Linked DNA regions of Nothobranchius furzeri. The protein of the gene in region 1 purifies or fractionates together with the protein of each later gene. This does not show direct contact. Links are inferred from orthologs where the notes say so. Each region holds a gene or a part of one and is shown on either strand. Other genes may lie near its edges.

The links. The genes of interacting proteins can lie anywhere in the genome.
Region 2: the proteins of ubxn6 (region 1) and nploc4 purify together in Homo sapiens (affinity purification with western blotting; 3 studies listed by BioGRID and IntAct, with this or other methods). This does not show direct contact. The link is inferred for Nothobranchius furzeri from reciprocal best matches to the Homo sapiens genes UBXN6 and NPLOC4.
Region 3: the proteins of ubxn6 (region 1) and aspscr1 purify together in Homo sapiens (affinity purification with mass spectrometry; 4 studies listed by BioGRID and IntAct, counting the BioPlex papers as one, with this or other methods). This does not show direct contact. The link is inferred for Nothobranchius furzeri from reciprocal best matches to the Homo sapiens genes UBXN6 and ASPSCR1.

Annotation. Positions count from the first base shown.
Region 1 is NC_091748.1:48,270,425-48,274,924, forward strand, and holds part of ubxn6 (UBX domain-containing protein 6), read left to right. Parts: intron 1-1,461; coding exon 1,462-1,526; intron 1,527-1,601; coding exon 1,602-1,730; intron 1,731-1,834; coding exon 1,835-1,932; intron 1,933-3,604; coding exon 3,605-3,680; intron 3,681-3,805; coding exon 3,806-3,890; intron 3,891-3,985; coding exon 3,986-4,205; intron 4,206-4,500. UniProt on the Homo sapiens protein: May negatively regulate the ATPase activity of VCP, an ATP-driven segregase that associates with different cofactors to control a wide variety of cellular processes.
Region 2 is NC_091756.1:53,426,287-53,431,422, reverse strand, and holds part of nploc4 (nuclear protein localization protein 4 homolog), read left to right. Parts: intron 1-698; coding exon 699-938; intron 939-1,014; coding exon 1,015-1,063; intron 1,064-1,131; coding exon 1,132-1,226; intron 1,227-1,307; coding exon 1,308-1,431; intron 1,432-1,644; coding exon 1,645-1,824; intron 1,825-1,926; coding exon 1,927-2,013; intron 2,014-2,539; coding exon 2,540-2,611; intron 2,612-2,686; coding exon 2,687-2,813; intron 2,814-3,982; coding exon 3,983-4,143; intron 4,144-4,303; coding exon 4,304-4,375; intron 4,376-4,497; coding exon 4,498-4,590; intron 4,591-5,136. UniProt on the Homo sapiens protein: The ternary complex containing UFD1, VCP and NPLOC4 binds ubiquitinated proteins and is necessary for the export of misfolded proteins from the ER to the cytoplasm, where they are degraded by the proteasome.
Region 3 is NC_091746.1:22,798,987-22,804,122, forward strand, and holds part of aspscr1 (tether containing UBX domain for GLUT4), read right to left. Parts: intron 2,316-5,136; coding exon 2,264-2,315; intron 2,167-2,263; coding exon 2,097-2,166; intron 1,683-2,096; coding exon 1,507-1,682; intron 1-1,506. UniProt on the Homo sapiens protein: Tethering protein that sequesters GLUT4-containing vesicles in the cytoplasm in the absence of insulin. Modulates the amount of GLUT4 that is available at the cell surface. Enhances VCP methylation catalyzed by VCPKMT.

The DNA of each region.
Region 1 (4,500 bases):
AGAGCAAGTCACCCCCAAATAAACAGTTTTTTCCTGATAAACTATATAAATGTGTGTCTAATCGTGCTGCAGACATGTGTAGTCAATAGTTTTGCACTTTAGTGCATTTTAGTTCAAATTTAAAATTTCTGCCTAAAACTGTCAGTGTTGTGCCGTTGTCAGGTAAAAACTCTGCACCGCATTTAAATTTGGAATCTGCCATCGCTATTGGCTAAGAGGTATGCTATGATGTCAACTGGTACCATATGATGTCACAGTGTCGTTGTGAGCCTGTGTGTGTGTGTGTGTGTGTGTGTGTGTGTGTGTGTGTGTGTGTGTGTGTGTGTGTGTGTGTGTGTGTGTGTGTGTGTGTGTGTGTGTGTGTGTTAGCGGCTCCGCCCTCTCGGTTTGATAAGCAACAGCATTTGTTGCATTTTTCAAACAGGAAGTGGGAGTGAGGTAAGTTTCTTGTAGGGGTGACTTGCTCTTTAAGGTCAGGAACTTGTTCGGGCAGTCCGATGATGTTGCAGAATATGATTTAAATGTACTTTTACGTTCACTAATAACCTCTGCATAATAAATATTCTAAATTAACTTTATTTAGGTGTCTGACTTTAACACTGAGCAGTGCACAAACAATTAGTTAAATTCAGAGTTTAAAAACTGATTCAGCTTCTGATGTTCTGCATTTTAGTGTGAAAATAAGGTGGAAAATGTCTCTATCAGCCTTGAAGATCACCAGTACATGTCAGTTACTGGCTGACCATGTCTCCTACATATCTGCTTCGGTGCTGGCAACACAATATCGGTCTACCTCTAGTGTGAATTATCACTAATGTAAGGTTTTCATTAAGTAATTACATTTCATTTGTTTAACACCATCCATAGAAAAAATGCAGATAAAAAAGGTAATCTTGTTCTGTAATTACTTGATTTGTAAGACTTTCTCTATCTTCCAGACTGTTAAGTTGTTGCACTTTTTGTTAAAAAGTACCTGATCATGTAAAGTCCACAAACAATAATTATAAAATTAACCAGTGAAGGTATGACATATTATTAAAGGAATCATGTGTTGTTGTTTAGAGAAAATAAAAGCATGAATAATAATAATAATAATAATAATAATGTTTTGACACCAGCCTTTCAAATTTGAACTTTTTAAAAATAGAAATAATTTTCAGAGACTTGACCAAACAGCTGAGATTCTTGTTATTACTAATTCTAATAATGACCAAGCTTTTGATGTCTGACATGGTTAAATATGACAGACTGTTTAATTCAGATGAACTTGACTGTAGTTTCAGTGCTTAAACCATTCAAAGTTGATCATCTGTTATCTAACTGGCGTGCAATGAGCTCTACTGCAGCAGACAGAAAAAAACAAGGCAGTGGTTGTTTTTGTTTATCTTTCTGATGTGTTGACATTAAACGGATGCTGATGTCAGCAAACATCGTTTGTTTGCTTGTTTTTTCTGTTTCTAGTTAAAAGGGAACTGGAGGCTGAGGCGGCCGCAGTGGCTGAAAAAGCAAAAGCAGCATCAGCCGAGGTCTGGGCTGGCTCTAGCGACACAACTTTTCCATTTTATTTAACTCCATAAATGACTGGATGAATTTATGTTCAGGGATCCGGAGTTCCAGTGAAAGATTTTGCCTGCCTCTCCGTGTCGGGTGTTTATTTCACCTGTCCTCTCACTGGAGCCACGCTAACGAAAAGTCAGAGGGAGGTGCACCTTAAGGAGGCCATTTTCATGGTACGTCTGTTGGAGCATGGCTTTATTTTTTATCAACATAATAATGAGATTAAAGCTAATCCTGCTGGTTTTGTTGGTGAAATAATCTCTGTTTCTACCATCAGCGCTTTGAGGAGGATGCAGTGGAGGCTTCTGTTATGATGATCCACACGTTTAACAAAGACAGAGACAAAGTGAAGACTGCTGTGGACATTATTAGCAAGTAAGTCGGTTATAGCAGGGTTTGGTGCGGTGTGGGTCATCATGGACCAGCTTTTCAGGCGAGCGTTTCTATCGCAGTTTGGGCTCTCATGTTGGCAGGCAGGGTTAAACGAACCGTCATACGCAATTAAAAAAAAAGTTGTGCAGCTATTCTGTATTTTTGTGCTGCAATAAATGGTCTGCTGAGCTAAAGACAGAAATAAATGCTTACCAACAGACTCCACAAGTAACTTCAGTGTGTGTTTCTCCCATTTCCACCCTGAAAAAAAAATCCACTCCGGCTTTTTCTGTCCTAACCTTTCTACACGGGGCTTACATTTCTTCAGCTTGGCCCCGTTCCGACGTCCGCTGGAATCCTTCGGCTGCCATCCACTGAGAAACAAAACGTATTACAATCCTTACCGATCCTTCTAGCTCAGGGGTGTCACACTCGCACGGGGCCGAGATGAAACTCTGGGACGGAGTCGAGGGCCAAACTTCATATTTTTTTGAAAAAGTGACGGCAAATTTGCACATTTTCTTTATCAACATATATGCAATTTTGAACCTTTAAATTTGGAAACAAACATATTTCTGCATTAACACTGAATGTGGAATAACCAAATTACACACGAGCAAGTCAGTTTTAAATAAAACGCATCAGTGGTATTTATTACTTGTGGTATAATCAGCATTTTATAAATCTATTCAGGATTTATGTTTTCTTGTTTATTCATTTTTCTTATTTTTTATTCTCCCTTTTTCCTCCTGTAATACGTGTCATCGCTGCTGTGACGTCTAGCTTTCCCCACTGAGGAACAATAAAGGGATTTTCTATTCTATTCATCTATCTGCAGCCTTTCCACTTCCTGTTTACTGTAGGTTAAATCTTTTCTCACGGGCCAACAACAAAATAAAAATATCATTTTATCTTAAATGAAAATGCAACATCTCACCTGTTAACTTTCATGTTTTGGAGCAGAAAAAGAGCATAAAGCCAACATCGGACTGACAAAAACTAGAACAGTTCTTGTATGTGAAGCCATATCTGTTTGTATTAATGTGGAGTTCGTCTGTATATTTCCTTCGTTGTTATCTAAATACTTTCTTTGACTCAAAATATTGCTTGGTGTCTTTCAATAAAGTTCTTATATGTAATTTTGCCCCATTTCTTCAACATCAAGAGCTTTTGAGGGTCACCGTTTATCATTTGCTTATATTTAACATTTCCTCTAGAAATTTAAACATATTTTCTCCAAAAAGGGTTGATTTTTGGACTACAGGGCTACAACCGCAAATTTGTTCTGACCAATCAAAATCAAAACGTGATAACGTCACTTCCTTAAGCTTCATGTTCAGCCAATCAACTACTTTGATGTCATCGGCAGTCGAAGGACCCCGAGCCGATCCTGCACCCGAGCCGATCCTGTACTGACACCGGCAGCAGACGCTGGAAAAAACACAAAGGAGGGGGCGGTTCGGCTCTGCGCTAATGCCGCAAAGCATCATGGGAGTTGTAGTCTTTGCTGTAAAATCGCCCTAAAAGGTAGCGCGCCGATCCTCCCCGTTGTGTGCCAAAACGGTCGAGGGAAATGAGGCTTTAGGACGGGTATTAGGCTTTTACCTCAACATCTTTATAATATTTTCAGCTGCTTTTATATTTTACTTAGATTTTTTTAATTGTTTGATGACAGGTATGTTGAGAACATCTGTAAAAACCCCACAGAGGAGAAATACAGGAAGATTAAAGTCAGTAACAAGGTGTTTCAGGTGAGTTTGAGACCAGCTTCCTGTGCCCCGTGTTTCTTTCCTGTCTGGCTCTGGGCTGATCGTTTAGGAAAGGCTGTACATCAGACAGTGTTGTATATTTAATATGATTCCTCGTTTTGTTTTAGGAGAAAGTGCTTCCTGTTGAAGGCAGTCGAGAGTTTCTGCAGGCTTTGGGTTTCATCAGTGTTATGCTTCCTGTGGAGGGCCAAGGTAAAGGAGTGGTCCTTTTGTTTTTTTATAAATTTGTCTGAGAGAGATCGGTGTTATTACGTGCACTTGCTTTTTTCACTTTCACTGGCGATCAGAGGAGGACGAGGAGTTCCTGGTGTTACCAGAGCAGAGCCCCGATGCCCTGGAGCTGATGAAGGAGAGAAGAGATCGTCTTCAGAAAGGACAACCGGTCAGAGCTCAGCTGGACCGGCAGCCTCAGGCGTTCAGACCATCTCCTAACGCTCAGAAATTCGAGCTGCCGTCGGAGTTCTACAATCTGACAGCAGAGGAGCTGAAGAGGGAACAACAGCTCAGGTACCGGGTTAGATACACAAATCCACCTCAGGCTGCTTCTAGCCGTCAGTCAGAGCGGGTACTGAACACACCTGTGCAGCGCCAGGCTAAAGACCAGAGGCGACAGATCATTTGCTGCTGTGGCCCCCAGACTCTTGAACTCTCTCCCCCTGAGCCTGAGATCAGTGGACTCAGTGGTCTCCTTTAAAACGCAGCAGAAACCTCACTTGTTCAGGCTGGTTTTGGTGTGACCTTCATGACCCTCTCATTGTTCTGCTCTCCCCACCTATTCCACCTTCCTCAGGATCCACTCATT
Region 2 (5,136 bases), on another chromosome or scaffold:
TCTGCTCTTCAGGCTGTGTGTGTGTGTGCGTGTGGGGGGTCTTGTTCTGTGTGAAAACGAAGCAGTACAAGTGATAATGCTGCAGGATTTCATAATTTTATCCTTCTCAGCAGCAGCACTGTAGGTGCGCTCCATGTCCAACACGTGCGTAAGCCAGGTCCTCAGTCAACTTAAAGTTGTGCACATTTTTCCACTAAGTTTTCTTTCATAAATCCCAAAGTTTGCATGGAAAGTTGCTTACGCAGTTTTCCGACCCCGTTTTGTGCGTAAGCAAGCTTGATAAATGAGGCCCCTGGTCTTTACATGCATCTTTGTAGACAGGAGGCATGATTTTTACGGTGGTGTTTTGTGACCAATGCAGAAGTAATTTGTCAGAATATCCAGGTTTCAGAACCGAGACCAGACCAGCTTCAGAGGAAGGAGAAATGCCTGATGATGCAAGTGGGCTGCTTTCTCCTGGATGCAGGAAAAATCTCTACCTGGCCCAATTGAAACTGAGACAGGAAAATGCATGAATGCAGCCAAAAACGGGTTTGGGGTATTTCTCAAAAGAACCTTTAAAGAACGTTTATAAGAAAAGCTAATTTTTCATCAGTGGAGTTTTTCTTTTAATGTGGCTGCGGATGACCCAGTTTTCCTTCTTGTTGTAATTCCTTATTTTAGTCCTTGATTATTCAGTTAAATTTTTTCTTCTGCAGGCATGGAGACATGTTGTTTCTGTTCCCCTCTGCTTCTTCCGCCTCTTCTGGGGAGGTTATGGACACAGCCACCACACACACATCTTCATCTGTCACCTCCGTCTCATCCACTTCTTCATCTTCCTCCTCATCCTCCTTGATCCCTCGGTCCACTTCAGCACCCCAGGTCCAAGAGGATGAGATCGATCAGTATCTGACCAAGCAAGATGGCAAGATCTACAGGAACAGAGACCCTCAGCTGTAAGAACAAGACCAGCTCCTCACAACCAAGGAACATGCAGATACAGAAAATTCACTGGCGTTCTCTTTGTTTTAGATGTCGTCATGGCTCCCTTGGAAAATGTGTGCACTGTGTACCGTTAGAGGTAACTACTCTTATTCTTCATGGTTGAAATTTTAACACCATCCGCCCTAAATGGTTTGCTCCCCCCAGCCCTTTGATGAAGACTACCTGAATCACCTCGACCCACCAGTGAAGCACATGTCATTTCACGCGTACCTTCGCAAGCTGACCGGTGGAGCTGATAAGTGAGGGGTTTGTTTTGAATTCATCCACCTGATTCGCTCCTGATTTCTGTCAGATTCTGACTTGGTTCTGATCTCCTGCAGAGGGAAGTTTGCAGCTTTAGAGAACATTAGCTGTAAGATAAAGTCGGGCTGTGAGGGTCATCCTCCCTGGCCTGAGGGGATCTGTACTAAGTGTCAGCCAAGTGCCATCACTCTCAACAGACAGGTACGACCCCATTTGGGCGAAAAGATTCTGTTAATTCTATTTGGTGAAGATCATTACTGAGTACTAATCCTGGTTGTTTATGTTGGCATCTATATTAATCTGATACTTTGATTTTCAAACGTTAATAAATCTCTCAGCTGACTTGGTGGGCTGAAAGTGTGTGTGCGTGCGTGCGTACATGTGTAATCCTAAATGGCTGTTTTCTGTTCCTAGAAATACAGACATGTGGACAACATCATGTTTGAGAACCACACTACTGCCGACCGCTTCCTGGACTTCTGGAGGAAAACGGGCAGCCAGAGGATGGGCTACTTGTACGGTCGGTACACCGAACACACAGACATCCCTCTGGGCATTAGAGCGGAGGTAGCTGCCATCTATGAGCCCCCACAGGTGAGACGGTCCTGCTGAACATGTGTCTGCTCAAGTTATTTACTCAGCCATGTCTTCTGATCAGTTTTTAAATGTGCTTTTCTGGTCTGGTTGGTGTTTCAGAGTGCTACCCAGAACAGCCTGGAACTGCTGGAGGATCCCAAGGCTGCAGCTGTAGATGAAATCGCTGCCAAGCTGGGCCTCTGCAAGGTTGGTTCCTCACTTACTGGGTGTTCGGTTGGGTTATTTGAGGGATTTCATGCCTTGCTGGTTTGTTTACAAGTTAATGCCATTCTTCAAACACATTCTCTTCATTTAAACAAACATACTGAACCACAGATATGCAGGAAATAAGGGACTTCTTATTATGTATTATAAAAGGTTTGTGTTCAATGTTTAAACTTTGGGGAAAGCAGTTTTCAGGCAGCTGCTCTTACACACCAGGAGACGTAAAAAACTTTATTCAGACTTTTCATCCACAGTATACATATTTCACTAATTACCCTCTGGAGCAGCCAACTTAAGGTTAGAGAAAAGTATTTGAGTAATTTCACCTTAAACAGTTGGACTCTTTAATATTTTTTTATGATTATATGCTTTTTATATAGAATCTTACTGTAGCAAATAGTTGAAATAGTTGAAATTTGATGTGTTGTTTCTACAATTTTTCTCTAATTTTGTATAATCTCTGCACAAATCTTTAGTTGGTCTAATCCAAGTTGTTCTTGTGATGTAGGTGGGCTGGATCTTCACTGACCTGCTGTCTGAGGATATGAGGATAGGTACTGTCCGCTACACAAGAAACAAGGTGAGAATGCACTCTGTTGGCCAGACTAAACCTGCTTTCCTCCATCTGACATAAATACCTTCATCCAACCGTCAGGACTCACACTACCTGAGTGCAGAGGAGTGCATCACGGCTGGATTCTTCCAGAACCAACATTCAAACTCCTGCAGACTCTCTCGAGACGGATACTTCGGGTCCAAGTTTGTGACCGTTGTTGCAACAGGTAATTCAGTTTAACCGCTGTCCTCGGACATACCGGACCAACTTTGTCCTCCAAACACTAAAGCCTGATTTATGCTTCTCCGTCTGCGTCAGTGCGGAGACACGCAACGCCATTATCCGTCCTTGCGTAGGGCACGCAAGTACGTACGGAGTAGAGCCCACTTTTTTAAGCATCCGTCGAACGAGATGGATTACGCAAGCTTGTGATTGGTCAGGACGCCGCTGTTATTTACAGCGCCGCCATTGCAAAGAGAGCCGAGGATAACTAGCGGCAGACACGGGGAAGCTTGAAGAATATCTCGCGAAAAAACTCTAAAAATATGAACGTTTAATTCTCCCGTGACTGGAGGAGTGAAAAGATGCGCAGCAAGCATTTTATTTGTGGACGGAAATGACAGGAAACGTGGGTTTAGAGGTGGGGAGCGCATGAAGCGGTGGGAGAATGAGAGACAAATATGTCCGTGTTAAAAGTCTCTTATATACACAAAACACACAATATAAACACACGATCTTGGACCGATACATGACAGGATACCACAGAACAGCGCTACGCCCTCTGTTGTCCTGCCGGGGAATTGCTTTGCAACACTCCAGGAGACGGAGAAGTATGAGAGCAAAACGCTTCCGTCAGTCCGTGCGTGTCTGTCCCTTGCGGAGCTGACGGAGAAGCATAAACCAGGCTCAACACATGAACCGTCCCATGAGCCTTTGCACCACTGATTCAAACATTGCCCTCATTTAAAGGGATCAGAGCTGTTGTTACCAGTGTGAAAATTAAGTGTTTATTATGCCCCATCTTTGGCCGATGGGAGAATGTGGATGGAGCCCAAAGTCATCAGTGACCTCATCAGTTGTATTTGTGTGAAAGAACAGCTGTCGGCCAAAGCTCACATCGTGGTTGCACATCTCTCGACTGCCAGGATGAAATCCATCTCCTTAACTTTCCCTTGTGTGTGTGTTTTCATATGAGTAATGTTGGTAAGGCTCTGGATGTTCCAGTAATGTCGAAGCATTTAGTGGAACTTATGTGTTTCTTCTCTTGTCCGGTAGACTTTGTTTTAATTTGTCGGTATGAAGTAAAACAGACATGTTTCAGTTCTAGAGCTGCTGCTTCTTCCCTCATCATCACTGCTTTTACACTTTACATTTGTACGACTGTTCCTCGTGAAGGTGGTCCAGATAACCAGGTGCACTTTGAAGGATACCAGGTATCCAACCAGTGCATGGCTCTGGTACGGGATGAGTGCCTGCTGCCCTGTAAAGATGCCCCGGAGCTGGGCTACGCCAAGGAGTCGAGCCCTGAGCAGTACGTACCAGATGTCTTCTACAAGGTGAGACTTTCCTCCGATGAAACACTACTCTTCTAAAAACTAAACACAGCCTCTGGTTGGATTTATCAGAAAAAGTGACTCACCTGTTCTTTGTGGCAACGTTGTTGATTTCAGGTGGTTAGTTTGGGGTCTGTTTATATGTGAATGTTTTATTCAACAGGACAAAGACAAATTTGGAAATGACGTGACGTTTCTAGCTCGACCTCTTCCTGTAGAGTATCTTATCATAGATGTGAGTCTGATGTCTTCATTTTCTGTTTCACACTTGTTGGATTTATTCTCTGTTAAAGTCTCTGCTTGTGCAGGCATAGTTTTTGGATCTGATTTTGCTCTTTTATACGCGTTTCCTCCCAGATAACCACAACCTTTCCAAAGGACCCTCAGTACACCTTCACCTCCACTCAACGCTTCCCCATCGAAAACCGAGATATTCTTGGAGAGACGCAAGTAAGCACTCTTCAGTTTAAACGCAGGTTTCCAGATTTAGAGACTTTTAGACAGGAGACAGGAAAGAACATTTGAATGAGCTGGTTTGTTTCACTTCAGCTGACAGTTCTAGATGCATCATCATAAAACCAATTAAGAAACCAAATGCAGTCCTTTAGAAAATAGTTAAACTGAATATTAGAAGATGTCAGGATTGTACATATTAGCAATGCAGCTGTTTAAAACTTCAGTTTAAAAATTAGCTGGGAGTGTCGATGTGTAAATGAACACAACCTTAATGTTTATCACGACTATGTTAAGATATGATGTCACTTGTGGTGCTCTCAGTCACCTTAGATGTTGTCTGTTGAGGAAACGAATGAGGATTATTTGAAGGAGCTTCAGGCAAATCTGAACGTAACTTATCTTTTCACCAAATAGAATATTTACTAAGACATCACAATATAACTATAGACACATTACTTGTCTTTGTGTGTGTGTGTGTGTGTGTGTGTGTGTGTGTGTGTGTACGCGCGTGTGTGTGCGCGTGTGTGTGTGTGTGCGTGC
Region 3 (5,136 bases), on another chromosome or scaffold:
ATCCTGTGATGACCGGAGCGGCCGGGCCGAGACGTAAGCCTTTGCAAGAGGATTCAGGTAGATGGGAGCCGTACCATCTCGGACTTTGTATGCTAGTGTTAGCAATTTGAATTTGATGCGTGCTGCTAGCGGTAGCCAGTGGAGCTCAATGAACAGAGGGGTGACGTGTGCTCTTTTTGGCTGATTGAAGACCAGACGCGCCGCTGTGTTCTGGACCATTTGAAGAGGTCTCACAGTACAGGCTGGAAGACCAGTTAAAAGGGCATTGCAGTAATCGAGGCGGGAGATGACAGTAGATTGCACCAGGAGCTGGGTGGCATGTTGTGTTAGGTATGGTCTGATCTTTCGTATGTTATACAGCGCAAAGCGGCATGAATGAGCAACAGAGGCAACATGATCTTTAAAGCTCAGGTGTTCATCAATCACAACACCCAGATTTCGAACTGCCTTTGAAGGAGCCAGAGATAGGAAGTAATTTTGGATTGAGATATTGTGTTCTATGGATGGTTTTGCTGGGATGACACAAGTAGTTCAGTTTTAGAGAGGTTGAGTTGGAGATGGTGGGATTTCATCCATTTTGACATGTCAGATCACTTGCCAAAAATAAATAAAAGTTATGTTGTAAACCACAAATGAGCTGTTTTTTATTGCTCATAAATGAAACGGCAAATAGGGGCAAGATACCACTTTAAAAAACAATTTTCTGTTCCTGTTGTCCAAATTTGAACCGATCCTGAAAAAAGTGTGCAGACTTTTCAGTTATTTATTTGATTCTCAACGCCTTTTTGCTCCATTTCCATGGTTCTTTCAGAACGCTGCTGAGGTGCTAGAACTGATGAGATGAAATCAGAATAAACTCCATGTAAAGCCTGAAAATTGAAATAACAATGAATCTACATTTATTATGTCATTCTGCAACACTAACAGTAAGAATAAAATGTGCCCGTGCCACCAGGGGGCAGTAGACATGTGTAGGAGTGGATAGGGCAGGGTTCTGATGAAGGTACTAATCCTGTTGCTCCGTCTGGAGGGTTTAAGGCCAGAAGTGGTTTGATTTGAAATTGCAAAAATGGATTCAAAGAAGTTAAAAGTCAATAAATAAGCATACTGAATGTTTGTGAAAACAACTAAAAAAACTAAGAAACTAAAAGTTTATGTACATTCTGCATGCAGTAGCATGTTTCTACCACCTGGGGGCAGGGCTAAGGATTTCTGTACCATAACTACAGTGGTGACCTGTGCTTTCCACCAGTCCTTTGTTTTAACTCGTGGTATGTTGGTGTTTGTCTCTGGAAACATGAGCGGCTTTACTTTAGCTTGAGAACGTGTTCTCATTCACAAACCGGCACATCAGGGCTTCATGTTGCAGATGCTGGACTCTAGGGTCGGCGCAAAAACCAACAAAGATGAGTTTTCTAGAGTTTAGTTTGTTAAACAAAAGTGCAGATATTAAATTCATTTGTGTTAATGTTGTGAGTGTGTCCACATGGGACTTTCTGTCCTCACCTGGCAGCTTGAGCCACTTGGGCACTTTGCCTGGGTCTGATCTGACCGGTTTAGCAGCCTGCGGGTGTGCTGATGGGCCTGGGTCTTCCTGTTTGGACCCTTTGGGGTCAGGAAGAGACGCCGCTTCTACAACACCTGCAGAGCTGCAGGAAGCTTCTGGAGAATGGAGCATGCAGCTGATGTAAGGAGACATGAGAAAGAACACATAAAGATAAAAACCGTGACGAAGGAGGAGAGTTGGTGTTTTGCTGATGGATGTTTGTGGATAAAAGGAGGTCCAGATTAGGAGGTAAAAACCTAACGCTGAGGTGGAAAAACAACCTTGCAAATGATGCAAAAGGCCAACAGTTACGGGTCACGCATGGGCTCTATTTTTAGAGCCTGATGCATGGTGTGTGTGTTTGAGAATGTGTGTGTGTGTGTGGAGGAAATGAGGGCGCAGGGGGGCACCTGCTGTTAGGCAGAACCTCAAAGGGATTCCACTGATGACAGCTTTGTGACAGGAAAATAGGCTGGTTGCCGCGGGATACAAGTACATAAATAAACACACAGGCAGGCACGCACGCACGCGTGCACGCACGCACACACACCTTTTTATGGACTGGTTTGCCTGGGAGGCCGACACAGACGTTTCCAGCAGCTCCTTCTTGATGTAAAAATCTGTGGAGCAGAAAAACTACGGTTGTTTTTATTACTTTCCACAGATTCACGTCTTTTTACGTCAGATCAGACAGAAAATAAAGAAACGGACAAGAACCTGTCTTGATGTCGGAGCCGAAGTACACCAGAGCACCAGGAAACAAGTCGGCCTGCAGACAGAGAGGGGTAAACAGGAGCCTCCAAACAAACAATAACAACAAACAAACATCTTGCTACACGTAAACCAGCAGCTGAAGACCAATCCAGCGCGTTTCTGGGGATGATTCACTGCTCAGGGATTTGAACCAGTAACCACAGGTTCTTTGAAGAAGACCACAAAATAAGCACCAATCAAATGGTTAGAGAAAACACTTTCGCCCCCGAAGCATCGCATTCCTCCACCAGAGACTTAATGGCTGTAATGGACCAGTCACGGGCAGATGTTTCATCAAGCGGACAATTAGGAGGTGAGAAGACAGACAGGCAGCAGAGCGGCCGGATGGACGACGGGCGTCTGTCAGCCCAACAGAGCAGGAACAAAAACAAAACATTCCTTCTACACGAGAAAACTACAAAAAGTCTAGAAATGACAAAAGCAGCAACACCATCACATCCAAAACAGCTCACTGACCAGAGAAATGAGTGTTTATGGGATTTCTGGGATCCTTTCAGGATTTTATTAGGATTTGTCAAACAGAAAATAAAAGGATTCAGGAAAACTGAATTATTCGTTAAGGCTTCTCCTGATGTGAGGAAGCTCATTTCCACAGAAAAGCATCTATTCTCAGCCATGAAATCCTTAAAAGAGCAGAAACCTGCTCTGCTTAGGTTTTACGTCTACATGGAAACTCGGATGGTCTCAGGAGGAAAACAAGTTTGTTTCTCTTTTACTGTTAATTCAATCAAAGCCTCTGAAAGCACGATTCTTCTTCCAGCTTGTCGGACCTTTTTCTGGGCTGTTTGAAGGGTAAAACCCAGGAATTCTGCAGTAAAAACGACTTGTTTTCTTATTGTTTTCCCTCTTATATCCCATCGTTCCTGAAAATCCACAGACGGTATCAGCTTTAAAAAAGGGAGCCTAAGCCACGCCCATCTACTTTGAGACCCTAAACCTACAGCTGAAACCCACAGGGGGGAGTTGGTCTTGAGGTGTGCCATGGGGTAAGATGTGACGTCCGTGAACTTTAAAGACACATTTTGATGCTTAGAAAGTGCTGATTGTCCACAACAGGAGACTCCAAACGTTTGTCTCAGTAAAGTAACATCATCAAACCAGACACGGAGAAGAGAAGTTTAGTTTAGCGAGCTTCACACGTCCTTCCAGGACAACAGGAGGAGCATCAAATGTGGAGAAAAACACCAGAAATCCAGTCATGTGGCCAGTAGCAGCTACGCTGGAGATAAGGAGGTTGTGGTGTGACGTCATAGATGACACGACTGATTGGTAGTCACAATACTTTACCAACTGTTACATCCTGATTAATCTCAGATTATGCGACAGAGTCAAAATTCACATTTAAAATGAAGGACAGGTGCTGGTCCTAAAATGAGAACATCTTCATGACAAAGTTTATTTATGTCAGTAATTCTATTCAAAAAGTGAAACTTGCACATTAGATTAATTCATCACACACAGACTGATGTATTCCAAATGTTTATTTCTTTAATGTTGATGATTATAACTGACCAACTAATGAAAATACCTAATTCAGTATCTCAGATAATTAGAATAATGTGAAAAGCTTCAATACTGAAGACCCCTGGTGTTGCACTCCAGTCAGCTGATTAACCCTGCAGAGCCTTTAAATGGCCTGGGTCTAGCTCTGCAGGCTGCAGTCATGGGGATGACTGCTGACTAGACACTTGTCCCAACGACGACCCGTGACACTTGCACAAGGACGGAAAACACTAAAGGTAAAGAGGCTGGCTGTTCACGGAGCTGTGTCCAAACACATGAACAGAGGTGAAGGAAGGACAAGATGTGGTAGAAAAAACAACTTTAAAATTTGTTTTAGACGTTAAGGCAGTCCCGGAAACTACCCGTACGTCTTGGTCTGTTGCGGTGTCGAGTTGACTGAGGCGCGTGACACCATTGGGCACGCTGGCTCGTACTCGTTGACTGAAAGCTCCCCCTGGTGGAAAAACAGCGCTATTGGCCAAGGCGGTGGGCTCTCAGAAATGATTCGCTTAGCTGTAGGGGGGAGGGGCTTAAGAGAAAAATTAAATAAGCAAGACTATTTGTATTTTCTCCTAAAACTGGGTCAAAGAGTCAAACTTAAGGATTTTTAAAGTTATTTAACTATTCAAATGTACACACTACACCTTTAACCCCGTAGAAAATCTGTGGGGTGTTGTGAAGAAGATGCAACACGCCAGACCAGACAGTTCAGAAGAGCTGAAGGCCACCATCAGAGCAACAGCGCCACAGACTGATGGACTCCATGTCACACCGCATAGCTGCAGCAATCCAGGCTGAAGGTACCCTTCACATTTACCTGCTCATACTTCTCAGCTGGCCAACATTTCTAACATTGCTCTTAGTAGATATCCTGATTTTCTGAGATACTGAATTAGGGATTTTCAGTAGTTGTCAGTTATAATCATCAACATTAAAGAAACAAACATTTGAAACACACTACCAGTCAGAAGTTTTAGAACGCCCCAATTTTTCCCAGTTTTTTATTGGAAACGATGCAGTTTAAAGTCACATTGCATTCTGAAATGAAAGCATGGTACAAATAAGCAATTGGAGTTAAAAAGAAATCATGGAATCCATTTATAGACCAAAATGTGTTCTAAACGTTTGACTCATCACAGTAGCCACCTTTGGCAGACATAACAGCTGAACACACTCGTGGCATTCTTTCTACAACAGAAATCAATCGTTCTTCAGAAAGTTCTTCCATATCTGTTGCAGAAGTTCCCATTAATGTGTGGCACTTGTAGGTTGCTTTGCGTTCACTCTTCAGTCCAGTACATCCCAAACCAGCT